Linked DNA regions of Nothobranchius furzeri. The protein of the gene in region 3 interacts with the protein of the main gene of each other region in a pairwise test. Links are inferred from orthologs where the notes say so. Each region holds a gene or a part of one and is shown on either strand. Other genes may lie near its edges. The genes, in order: itsn1, ddx17 and wbp11.

Region 1 (3,650 bases), about 27 Mb from region 3:
TGTAGCTACAGCTGCCCTGGGGCGCACTGACAGAGGCGAGGCTGCCGAGCACAGGCGCCACCGGTCCCTCCGACCACCACCAGCAGGCAAGGTGGGTTATGTGTCTTGCCCAAGGACACAACAGCAGAATTCTCTGGTAGGAGCCAAGATCAAACCTGCAACCTTGCAATTACTGGACAACCCGCTCAACCTCCTGAGCTACTGCTGAAAAAAAAGCAAAAAATCTAATTATGTTTTAAAATGGTTCAGCCCTGAAGTTCCCTAGCGTTCAGACAGGAACCTTCCTGCACCATCGTGCTGCTTCCGACCTCTGTTCATCGTTTCCCTGCAGGGCTCTTCGGGTGAGGAAGAAGATGTCCGGTGATCGGATGCCTGTGAAGATGATAGGTGACATCCTGACCAACCAGCTTCCCCACATGCAGCCATACATCAGGTTCTGTCCGTCCTCTGCTGTCACTACATTACTTGTAAAAACCTGAATGATAATTTGTGAGAGTGATCTCATTTTTTTTGGGTTAAGATTCTGTTCGTGTCAGCTGAACGGAGCCACGCTGATCCAGCAGAAAACCGACGACAACCCTGAGATCAAAGACTTCCTGAAGGTAACCTGCCTCGAGAACAGTGGTCATATCCTCCCTCAGCAATTTGTTTCTGATGCTTCGTGTTTACACCAGAGGTTGGCCATGGATCCCAGGTGCAAGGGGATGCCTCTGTCTAGTTTCCTCCTCAAACCCATGCAAAGAGTCACACGCTACCCTCTCATCATCAAAAACGTATGAACCACACACACACACCTCTAGTCAGTCTGAGCAGCCAAGGTGTCTGACGGCTCTTTGTGCTTTCACAGATCTTGGAAAACACTCCAGAGTCTCACCCAGATCACAGCCACCTGAAAGCTGCTCTGGAGAAAGCTGAGGAGCTCTGCTCACAGGTAGACCTCTCGAACTGTACATTTAGGCCGGGTTACCTCCTGATTTGATCACATCTGGACCTTTTCGTGCTCTGCTATGACGGAGGGATGGATGTTCCATGTTTGAAACCCTGTCTGATGTGTTTGTTAAGCGTATGCTTCTGTGTTTTTAGGTGAATGAAGGCGTCAGAGAAAAGGAGAACTCTGATCGTCTGGAGTGGATTCAGGCTCATGTGCAGTGTGAGGGACTCTCAGAGGTAAAATTGTTTACTTGCTAGCTCAGTGGTTTGACTTTTTCATTAATTGAATAAAAATAATAAGATAAATTTTCTCCACGTCTTTTAGCAACTGGTGTTTAACTCGGTCACCAACTGTCTGGGACCCAGGAAGTTCCTCCACAGTGGGAAACTGTTCAAAGCAAAAAGCAGCAAGGAGCTTTATGGCTTCCTGTTCAACGACTTCCTGCTACTGACACAGGTGAGTCTGAGTGCCGTTAGCTGGCCTTCCATTTAAACACATCCTCTGTTCAATGGCATTTTCAGAAATTGGAGAAAAAAGGATGTCCTTTTAAAGCAGAAACCCAATGTTTTTTGTCAGAAGAAACCATCAAGAGGCAGAAAAGTGGATTGCTAGGGAACCAGGCAGGAAACTCCGGATTCCTGCCTTAACAGCTGCAGTGAAATGTTGGGTTTCAAAAAGTGCATTTTGTCAGATATTTCTAAGGTTACTGAAGTATAATTACAAGATTAGTTTGTTTCAAAAGCTTTTATTGAGTTGCGTGATGTAAAGGGTCCTAATTTGCTGTAACAGCTTTGCAGTTCACCCTGTCATGTTGTCCTCTGGTCCAAATCCTAACTGATGTTTAGTTTGTTGCCTGCTTCTTGAGGATTGACCCCACACATTCTCAATGGGATTAAGGTCTGGGGAGTTTACTGAACCTGGATCCAGAACTTGTTCCTTCTGGCCCAGTGCTCCATCATGCTAGAGAAGACTTTATTCATCACCAAACCATGCTCTGTTGGTTGGAGGAGTTCCTCTGGGATGATGTTTTGGTACCATTTTTGTTCATGGCTGTGTTCTGTGAGCTAAACTGTGACTGAGTCCACTCCCTGAGAAGTGCTGGATCCACTTTAGGAGACTGTTCTGATTGCTGTACAGAGAAACTTTGCCTGGAGCTACTGGTGTTGTGTCAAAATGTGTTCTCCCTTCAAACACCAGCCCACTTGGTGACGTCTGCACCTGAACAACAGAGCATTTGGTTGTCTTGTTTCTAATCCTGCCTCATCAAATACTGGATTAACACTTGTTTTGAAGATGAAACCGTCTTATTTCAGGTCACCAAACCTCTGGGGTCATCAGGATCAGACAAAGTCTTCTCCTCAAAAACACACCTGCAGTATCGCATGTACAAAACGGTGAGATGGTTCACAAACACCCTCCTGCACTCACCTTTTTTTGCATTAGAAAACAAAGTTTTGTCTTTTTTCTTCATTATTCTGTGATTCATTTAAAATTTGACTCCAGCTATAACTGATCTTTGTTTTAACTTTAATATTTTACAATCAAGTCTATTTTATATCTTTTCTTTGACTTTTTGAAGCCTGAAACAACACAGTGAATCATTATGTTTGTTATGAAATTGATCACTAAATGAATCTACTGTGAGAGAAGGTCCTTTTTACCTGATACTTCTTGCTTTTTTTCAGCCAATCTTCCTGAATGAAGTGTTAGTGAAACTGCCAACGGACCCTTCAGGAGACGAGCCTCTGTTCCACATCTCTCACATAGACCGGGTTTACACCCTCAGAGCCGAAAGCATCAATGAAAGGTAAAGATAAACGCGGCTGGTCCAAACCCGCCTGGAGTCTCTGAATCAGAAAAAACACACTCTTGGAGACTTTGTGTAAGCAGACTGATTCTGATCCTTAAAAACCAACTTAAGTCGTTTTGTTCATGAAAACAGCTGATGAAAGTTTTTTATAAATGTGAGAGTCGGTGTGTTTGTGCAGGACGGCGTGGGTTCAGAAGATCAAGGCAGCTTCAGAGCTCTTCATTGAGACGGAGAAGAAGAAGAGGGAGAAGGCGTATTTAGGTAGTTGTCCTTCACATCAACAGACTATTTTCATCATCTCTAGAGTGAAAGCTGACTTGTCTGCTTTTCTCTGTCCCAGTGCGTTCTCAGAGGGCGACGGGTATCGGTCGACTGATGGTCAACATCGTAGAGGGGATCGAGCTCAAACCCTGCCGCTCTCACGGTACGTAAACTCTACTTCTATTGAAACTAATCATTAGCAAGGATGCACCAACGCAAATACTTGGACAGACACTAATGCTGCAGTTATGGCAGCTAACTGATATTTACTGATGTTTTCTATATTTTCCCACACTTTCCAGGCTGTGTAAAAGTGACCACAACACTTACATTGCTCTTCTGCTTTGGTTGAACACACCACTCCTGTGCTGCATCACTGTCTCTGTCATTTCCAGTCAGATACCACATAACCCCCCCCCCCCCCCCCCCCCCCCAAAAAAAAACCAAAAGGGATCCACAAGCAGCAACAAGATGGAAATAAACATGGGTCGTTTATTTCAATAAGCCCAGTTTTACTTATCAACAGTGATAGGAATAACGCCATTTAAAATAACCGCATTGCTAAAAAAAAATTTCTTTCAGTAACGAGCAAACTAATTAATTACCGTCTTCTTTTATCAAAACGTCGTTTCTGTTACTGATCAGAAA
Region 2 (4,302 bases), on a different chromosome or scaffold from region 3:
TGCCCACAATCGAATACTCTAACAGGGGTTGGGATCTATCCCACCACCCTCTGATCACTGGGCAACCCGCCTCCTGAGCTACTGCTGCCCCAAATCGTCTGTATTACAATTTGATGACTAATGCATGAGCATTCAGATCCAGGAAAAATAGATAAAGATATCTACCTGAAACACCTGAGTAGACAAATCAAATAATTGTGTCATAAAGTTTGTAACCAAACAGATTGATGCGTTCTGTGATAGGTTTGTATTTACCGTCTGCTGGAGTTGTTGTTGCAAACTCTCTTTGCTGAACATACAGGAGGCACTTTGGGTCCACTTCAACCAGAGGCCTGGAGCGAAAGGTTCTAGCATGTTCCTGTAACATAAGAACACATCATGCGTTACAACAACTTAAGTGCCTCATACCTGACAGGTAAAAGTTTTTGACCAGTCTTATTTGACCCCAGAGATTCTAGACGTGGGTTTGACAAGCAGTTCTTTAGGCTTTGGGTGTTTCCCATTATAATTTCCTACCCAGTCCTTGTACCTGATATGGTGAGTTGTGTACTTATGAGGAACAGAGGAAAGTGGTTAGAACAACAGAAGAGTCAGACCTTACAAGGGAAAAAAGGGCAGGCTATATTTAGTGTTTTAGTACTTTTGTACTTCTTTCTACCTGAATACAAAGAGGAAATCATTGTTATTAGCTTGCATCATTGTTTTGCTAGTGACTTGTACTATTTAAAACTAATTAAAACGTGTTTCTTATGATTAGGCAAAACAGCGATTTCTTTCAAATGCAAAAAACTTGATGGTGTGACATTCAGAAGAGTACAGTCTAATATAAAAGACTTAAACAGCGTTAACCGACGAAGTCAGTGTTTACTTGCTAAAATTATTGAACAGCTAATAGCCACACTAACCTGTAAATGTGGATATTTGCTGAACAACTCCTCTGTCGACCTTATGCGGCCAAGTTCTCTACCCTGAATGAACAAAGGCATTTCTTTAACGAGCGTCACTTGATAATCAGCTAGTTCATGCTTTAAAAATGTCAATAACTTAAAAACGTCACGTCCAAACGCCTGTCTGTCTCATCTCGACTTGAACTTCCTGCAGCTGTTGTCTTCTTCGTTTCCTCGTGAAACGCATGGACGACTCGGTGCAATGTCGCCCCCTTCTGGTTGATATACAGACCTTTTATTTTCTTGTTTACTAGAACCAGATAAAGATGTTTTAAACGCACTATTGTCCAGTTTAGCTTTTTTTCATTTATAGGTTGCAATACACATTTTTCTACGTTTTAGTTGTTAAACAAGCTCTCGTTTTCGACGACACCATTTTTTTGTTCTAATTGCATTCACCATTGCTTTTAGTCAGGTTACGTAAGTGCTAAGGCTTTTTTAGAGACGGCACCACTCACGACGCTACGTTAACGTACTAGCAGGAACAACGTCATCGGGTTTGAGAAAAACAAGCTAGGTTAGTTCGTGACGCATATAGCTGTTGTTGGTCACAATGTTATTGTAGCGTTGTTATTGCCTAATTCGTGTATTATAGTTCACTAGGATTTAATTTTTGTGTCTTTATCTAATTTGCATTTCTTTAATTCTGAACGCAACGTCAACAAATCGACTCCAGCTAACGCGAAAAATACTACGGGTAAGAATATTTGCGTTGCCGACATGAGAGGGGGTTCATCTTATGGAGACAGGGACAGAGACCGTGGACGAGACAGGTTAGTTATTGTTGTTGGTGATTTTCAAAACGCTTGATCTATTTGCCGTGAAATCATATGATCAACTGAGAATGAGAAAATTCCCGAAACTAAACACGAAGGCGCCAAAGGGGCCTAAAGACTGTTTTCAATTCATTTGACTCCTCTGTCTCACCAATGACGAGGTTTGTTTTCCTACTCTCGAGTCGTTGTAAAACCACTAAACAACGGCATCGGTGAAATGTGAAGAAGTTGGAGCTCGGCAGCTCAGTGAATAGATAGATGTTGGACCATGGTTGGGACTGAGGCCCTCTGGACTTTGTTTACGGATTTGTTGCTTTTAATAAGCAGATGTGTTTCTGAAAAATTGTGTTCAATAAACCAGGAAATAAACTCTCAAATCTGTAGATTTTAAACTAAACTCAAGTTCTCAAAATATGGAAAAATATATTTTTCCACAGGCAGAAAACACACACACACACACACACACACACACACACACACACAGGGTTCACTCTGAACTCTGACCCATATTGCTCAGTGGTGTTGAAAAACAACCAGTTTAGAAAGACATTCTTTGTATCTGGCGCCATCTAGTGGTCACATAGCCTGTGACTAAATCACCGCTGCTGGAGAATCTTTTCCAATAACCCTTTAGGCCCTAGGCCTTTTTTCTTTGGGCCCTGGCGCCTCCCAAACAATGGGGGCCTTTGGCGTTTCATGTCCCAAGTGTGAGTGATTGTTTGCATTCCCCGAGCACAGCTACAGCTACAATCAAAATAGTTTAGATAGTAAACAAAGCAATTTTTGGTTTCTGATACATTAAGATAAAATGATACTTGAACTTTATTTTAGAAGAGCTGCCCTGTGTAAACGTGCTGACAGGATGGAGGTTGTGAGTTCAAATTCCATTTAGGAAATTTAGTCAATTGTTGTATTTATTCCAGGGGTCCTCAACTACATTTGTTCAAGGTTTTTTTTTTCCAGCAGACACCAGAGAAGGTCAGATGCTCTTCTAAAGTAAAGTTCAAACATCATTGTATCTTAATTTATTACAATTTAAAATGGCCTTTTTTCCCACCTGGGCTGTTTGATTGTGGTTTTAGTTTGGAGTATGTGGACAGTAGTAGATGATTGGGACATGAAACTGTAGAGGCCCCCGGTTGGAGGGTGTTGGGGTTAAACAGGATGAATGTTTTGAGAAATTGTGTACGGTTACTGGATATTACCGCGGATAATGCTAATAAGGTTTATCATTTGTTATTCTGTATTTTTTTGTACTAGATTTTGTAAAAAAAAAAAAAAAAACATTTTAAATTCAGTCATTTAATCAAAACTTTCAAACTATGTCACTATTATATACTGTATACAACTATATCATGTGTTTTATCATGGTTTTATATTTACTACTCATGTATTGTTTTTGTGCTTGTTTGAGTGTTTTATTTCCTTTTACTGTACAATGACCTCGAGTTTTAGAACGATGCTTCAAATAAAGCTTGTTATTATTATTATTAGTAGTAGCATTACAGGTGCAGATAAAGATAAAAACCACAGGTGAAGCCCAAGTGTGGCGTTGACATCCGTCAACCTGCTCCTCGTACTAATTCCTCTGATTCTTCTTTTACCTCTTGAAACATCTCAGGCCAAGGTTTGGAGGGGGCATGGGTGGCCGCAACGGACCACCACCCATGAAGTTTGGTAACCCCGGTGAGCGTCTTCGCAAGAAAAGATGGAACCTGGATGAGCTGCCAAAGTTTGAAAAGAACTTCTACAACGAACACCCAGAGGTCCAACGAATGAGTCAGGTATGTTTCTTCTTCTTGCATACAGTTGTTTCAGAAGAACACAACACATTTCATGTCTCTTCTTCTATTTCTTGTTGCTTTATCCCAGTATGACATTGAAGAGATTCGCAGGAAGAAGGAGGTCACCGTCAGAGGCTCAGGCTGCCCAAAGCCTTTAACTGCTTTCCACCAGGCACATTTTCCTCGTGAGGGAACACACCTAATACTGCACACACAAATAATATTTAACAAATTCATCAACAATGAATTTTCTGTAAAACATCTAAGGGCTTAACATGTTAATACCTTCAATTGATGCTGATAATCTCCTGCTTTTGCCCTATAGAGTATGTGATGGATGTTCTGATGCATCAGAACTTCAAGGAGCCCACAGCGATCCAGTCCCAGGGTTTCCCTGTGGCCTTGAGCGGCAAGGACATGGTGGGAATCGCTCAGACGGGCTCTGGAAAGACACTGGCTGTAAGAATTCATCCCTGAAAGCCTATCATCATTAACAAATGGGCAATGACAGTTTAACATGATTGTTTTTTTGTTCCTTGCAGTACCTTCTTCCAGCTATTGTTCACATTAATCACCAGCCCTATCTGGAAAGGGGGGATGGTCCTATAGTGAGTACAAACGTGACACAACCTCAGACTGGAGATTTGCATCTAAATCTTAATGCTTGTGTGCACACAAAGCTAGCTGGTCATCATTCTGTATCCCTACAGTGTCTGGTCCTCGCTCCAACTAGAGAGCTGGCCCAGCAGGTTCAGCAGGTCGCTTTCGACTACGGCAAGTCATCCCGCATCAAAA
Region 3 (3,261 bases):
TGGCAGGAAAATCAAACGTGTGAAATTCTGCTGGTGAGGGACACTGTTGAGCAGCACCACGGCTGCCCAGCCACTTCCGTGTCTACACACACACACACACACACACACACACACACACACACACACACACACACACACACACACACACACACACACACACAGTGTCTCTAAGCATTTTTGCCTGGATCCCCAAACCTCGGGTTACTTCCTGAATGTCATTCCTTCCTCTACCTCCAACCCCATGAACCCCAGCGCGTCCTCCTCTAACTACGGCAAGCCTGAGGGACAACAGACGCCGGTAGCAGCACGACGTTCACCTCGCTCCCGGGTTTACGGGTCCGAAGGTCTGTCGTGTCGCTACAGAGTGCGTGGTGAGCAGTTTTCAAGCATGGGCTCGTGAGCTTTACCCTGAAACAGAGTCGTCTGGTTGGAAACGGAGCTGAATGCAACACCTGGAAAAGTCACAGAGGACAACCCGGCAACGAGAAGACCTGTCCTGATGGAACCGCTGACCACTGAGGTGTGTGCAGTCACATCCATTAAACTACGCAGTACCTCCTTGTAGCTTTATACACCTACCTGGTGGTGCCGGGGGTGGTAGTCTGGGTGGGGGTCCGCGGGGTGGAGGACCTGGTGGAAGACCGGGAGGAGGGCCTGGCGGAGGACCAGGGGGTCGACCTGGTGGAGGACCAGGGGGCAGAAGACGAGGCATCGGGCCCCTAATTCCTCCGGGCATACCAGGTGGCCTCAAAAACGGAGGAGCGCCTAAACAGAAGAGAAAATAAGAAACGCGTCCCGCCACCAAAACAGTCATCTCTTCTGAATGAAGCTAACCTGGTGGGGGGCCAGGAGGTGGGCCGGACGGGGGACCGGGAGGTCTCATTGGAGGAGCTGGTGGTGGGCCCAGTGGAGGAGGACCAGTCATCGGTGGGCCTTGTAAAGGTGGAGGGGGTCCCTGCTGACCCACGGCCCCAACAGGAGGGGGGAGGCGCTGACTGGCCACGACTTGGGACTGGCCGTCTGCCGGTGGAGCCCGGTCCTCGGTGTCAGACGCGTCCGACTCATCTGTGAACTCCTCCTCTCCCTCCTCCTCCTCTTCTTCCTCGTCGGGAACCGACTGACCTGAGGACGACAGACTTGTCATGCACCCTAGTTCTGAACAGGACGTGAGGCGGAACGTGATCACATGACCGTACCTGCCATCCTCAACATCATGGCCTGCAGAGGCGTAATGGCCTTGGTCTTCTTCGCCCCTCTCTTCTTCTTCCCATCATGGGAATCATCTCCTGGCAGATCTGCGAAGCGTACGCTGCGTCCTGCAGCAAGTCAGAGACCCGAACGACACGTTCACGAGGGACCCGAAGCCATTAGGATTACACTCAGGAGCTCAAACACACTGCAGCACTGACCGGCATGTCTTTCACTTCTGTCTCTGTCCTCCTCCCGTTCCCCGCCATCAGCCCGCCGCTCCGCACGCCCTCGCTGCTCGCCGTCTCCCTCCTCGTCCCTGTCCTCTTCGCTGTCTTCATCAGAGTCACTGTTGTCATCCAGATCGTCCCGATCTCTGTCGCTCTCGCTGCCGCTGTACTGATCCCGGCCCAAGTCCAGGGCAGATTCCTTCTCCAAGCCAGGAATGGAGAGATCTGATGACGGATTAAACAAAAGCACAAAAATACTCCTCGCTTTCAGATTTTTCATCAAGTCATGAAAATTAGGGTTTAATCCCAATTTAATCTGAGATATCTAGTAACAGCTCTACAATAAACAGGCTTATTGAGCAGAATAGGGCTGAACTATCGTTTTTGGACCAAAATCGCGATTTCAAACAGCACGATCACGTGAACGTCAAAGCTGTGGTTTTAGCGGTTTCGACTGATCCAGGATCAGTTGTGTAACTTTTTTTTACATCCGGGGGTTTCCCCCTGTGTTATGGCGTGGCGGCGGCAAAAGCCAGCGAGGGGGAGGGGGGTGGGGTGTACCGCCCAGAGCCGAGCCCAGCTCCACAGCTGCCAGAGCTGCATGTTCAGGTTATTTTCCCTGTTTCATGTTCCCACACACAGCGCTGCTAGAGCCGATAATAATGCACCGTGGGTGGGCCCGGGACAGAGAGAGAGAGAGAGAGAGAACATAGTTGAGTAAGGGAGAGAGAAACTCCTCCCACATCAGCAGGTTCAGGCAGATTTCTAAAGCTTGGTTTATGCTTCATCAGCACGAGCGCAGAGTCGCGCACTTTAGTTGACTTGAAAGCTGAACTTCTCTTTTAAAAATGGTTTGAATGTTTCTGACGGCACACGTTAGCTCAGACAAGCAAGGTTCGTTTATGCTTGACGCGTCCGCGAGGTCCGCACGGCTCCGCGCGAAAAAGTTGCGTCATTTTAAAAACCACGCCCCTCCACCGCGCCTCCGCACGGCCCAAAATTTCCTCAACGCGCACCTAGGACATTTTCTAACCACGCGGACGGTCGGACACGGAAAAACATGGCGGACCGGCAAGAACTAGTACGGCAGAGGTTCGTAAATACAGACATTTGTATGATTCAGCTCTCAGAGATCACCGTGATCAACATGTTGTTAATAATTCTTGGAGAGAAATAGCTCGCACTGTCGGAAAAGACGAGGACGCTGTTAAAAAATGCTCTACGGCATGCATCCAACACTACACCATAGTAGAAGTAGAAATTACCGTTGTTGACAACATAGCATTCCAGCAATTTTTTGCTGTAATGCCATGCTTTTTTATATTTTTACATTTTTTGTTTTTGTGAAGCGCCTCGTGATTTTTATCTTGAGAGGCGCTATAGAAATGATATTTTCTTCTTCTTCTGATATTTACTAGTCACTTAGCCGATTCGTGACCTGGAGGAAGCCGTTTATTCTACCATGGATAACCAAGTCTGCAGCTTTCTTTAAATGTCCGTTCCCAAAATATTTCCTCAATAAAAATCTAAAAAACATTACGTCCTCTTTCTGGCAGCCGTGGCTCGAACCCTAGTATAAAACAGCCGACCTGCTTGTATCACTGGTCAAAATGACAGGGAGGGGAGTGGGAAGCGTCGCCCTGATCTCCGCACCAACCTAACCCATGCTAGCATCTGTCAGCGGGCTACCTGCGTCAGAGCCGTAAGATCGTCGAGAAGGAATGCCATACAGCGCCAGGACCTGTGGAGGTGGGGGCCCAGGTGGGGGTCCTGGAGGCTTCTTCCCTGGAGGTAAGCGTGGGACACCTGGCACTGCTCCTAACCCCAGCCCAGAGGATGATAT

The links.
Region 1: the proteins of wbp11 (region 3) and itsn1 interact in a two-hybrid assay, tested with the Homo sapiens proteins (2 studies listed by BioGRID and IntAct). The link is inferred for Nothobranchius furzeri from reciprocal best matches to the Homo sapiens genes WBP11 and ITSN1.
Region 2: the proteins of wbp11 (region 3) and ddx17 interact in a two-hybrid assay, tested with the Homo sapiens proteins (3 studies listed by BioGRID and IntAct). The link is inferred for Nothobranchius furzeri from reciprocal best matches to the Homo sapiens genes WBP11 and DDX17.

What each region holds. Positions count from the first base shown.
Region 1 is NC_091752.1:40,915,361-40,919,010, reverse strand, and holds part of itsn1 (intersectin-1), read left to right. Parts: intron 1-331; coding exon 332-433; intron 434-520; coding exon 521-602; intron 603-674; coding exon 675-773; intron 774-847; coding exon 848-931; intron 932-1,083; coding exon 1,084-1,167; intron 1,168-1,255; coding exon 1,256-1,387; intron 1,388-2,244; coding exon 2,245-2,325; intron 2,326-2,616; coding exon 2,617-2,738; intron 2,739-2,919; coding exon 2,920-3,002; intron 3,003-3,081; coding exon 3,082-3,165; intron 3,166-3,650. UniProt on the Homo sapiens protein: Adapter protein that provides a link between the endocytic membrane traffic and the actin assembly machinery. Acts as a guanine nucleotide exchange factor (GEF) for CDC42, and thereby stimulates actin nucleation mediated by WASL and the ARP2/3 complex.
Region 2 is NC_091746.1:24,951,203-24,955,504, forward strand, and holds the start of ddx17 (probable ATP-dependent RNA helicase DDX17), read left to right. Parts: upstream 1-1,467; 5' UTR 1,468-1,667; coding exon 1,668-1,720; intron 1,721-3,344; coding exon 3,345-3,507; intron 3,508-3,595; coding exon 3,596-3,692; intron 3,693-3,832; coding exon 3,833-3,966; intron 3,967-4,049; coding exon 4,050-4,115; intron 4,116-4,217; coding exon 4,218-4,302. Other genes in the region: ntan1 (protein N-terminal asparagine amidohydrolase), read right to left, coding at 256-358, 906-986. UniProt on the Homo sapiens protein: As an RNA helicase, unwinds RNA and alters RNA structures through ATP binding and hydrolysis.
Region 3 is NC_091752.1:67,492,899-67,496,159, forward strand, and holds part of wbp11 (WW domain-binding protein 11), read right to left. Parts: coding exon 3,108-3,261; intron 1,644-3,107; coding exon 1,410-1,643; intron 1,317-1,409; coding exon 1,197-1,316; intron 1,123-1,196; coding exon 835-1,122; intron 766-834; coding exon 580-765; intron 1-579. UniProt on the Homo sapiens protein: Activates pre-mRNA splicing. May inhibit PP1 phosphatase activity.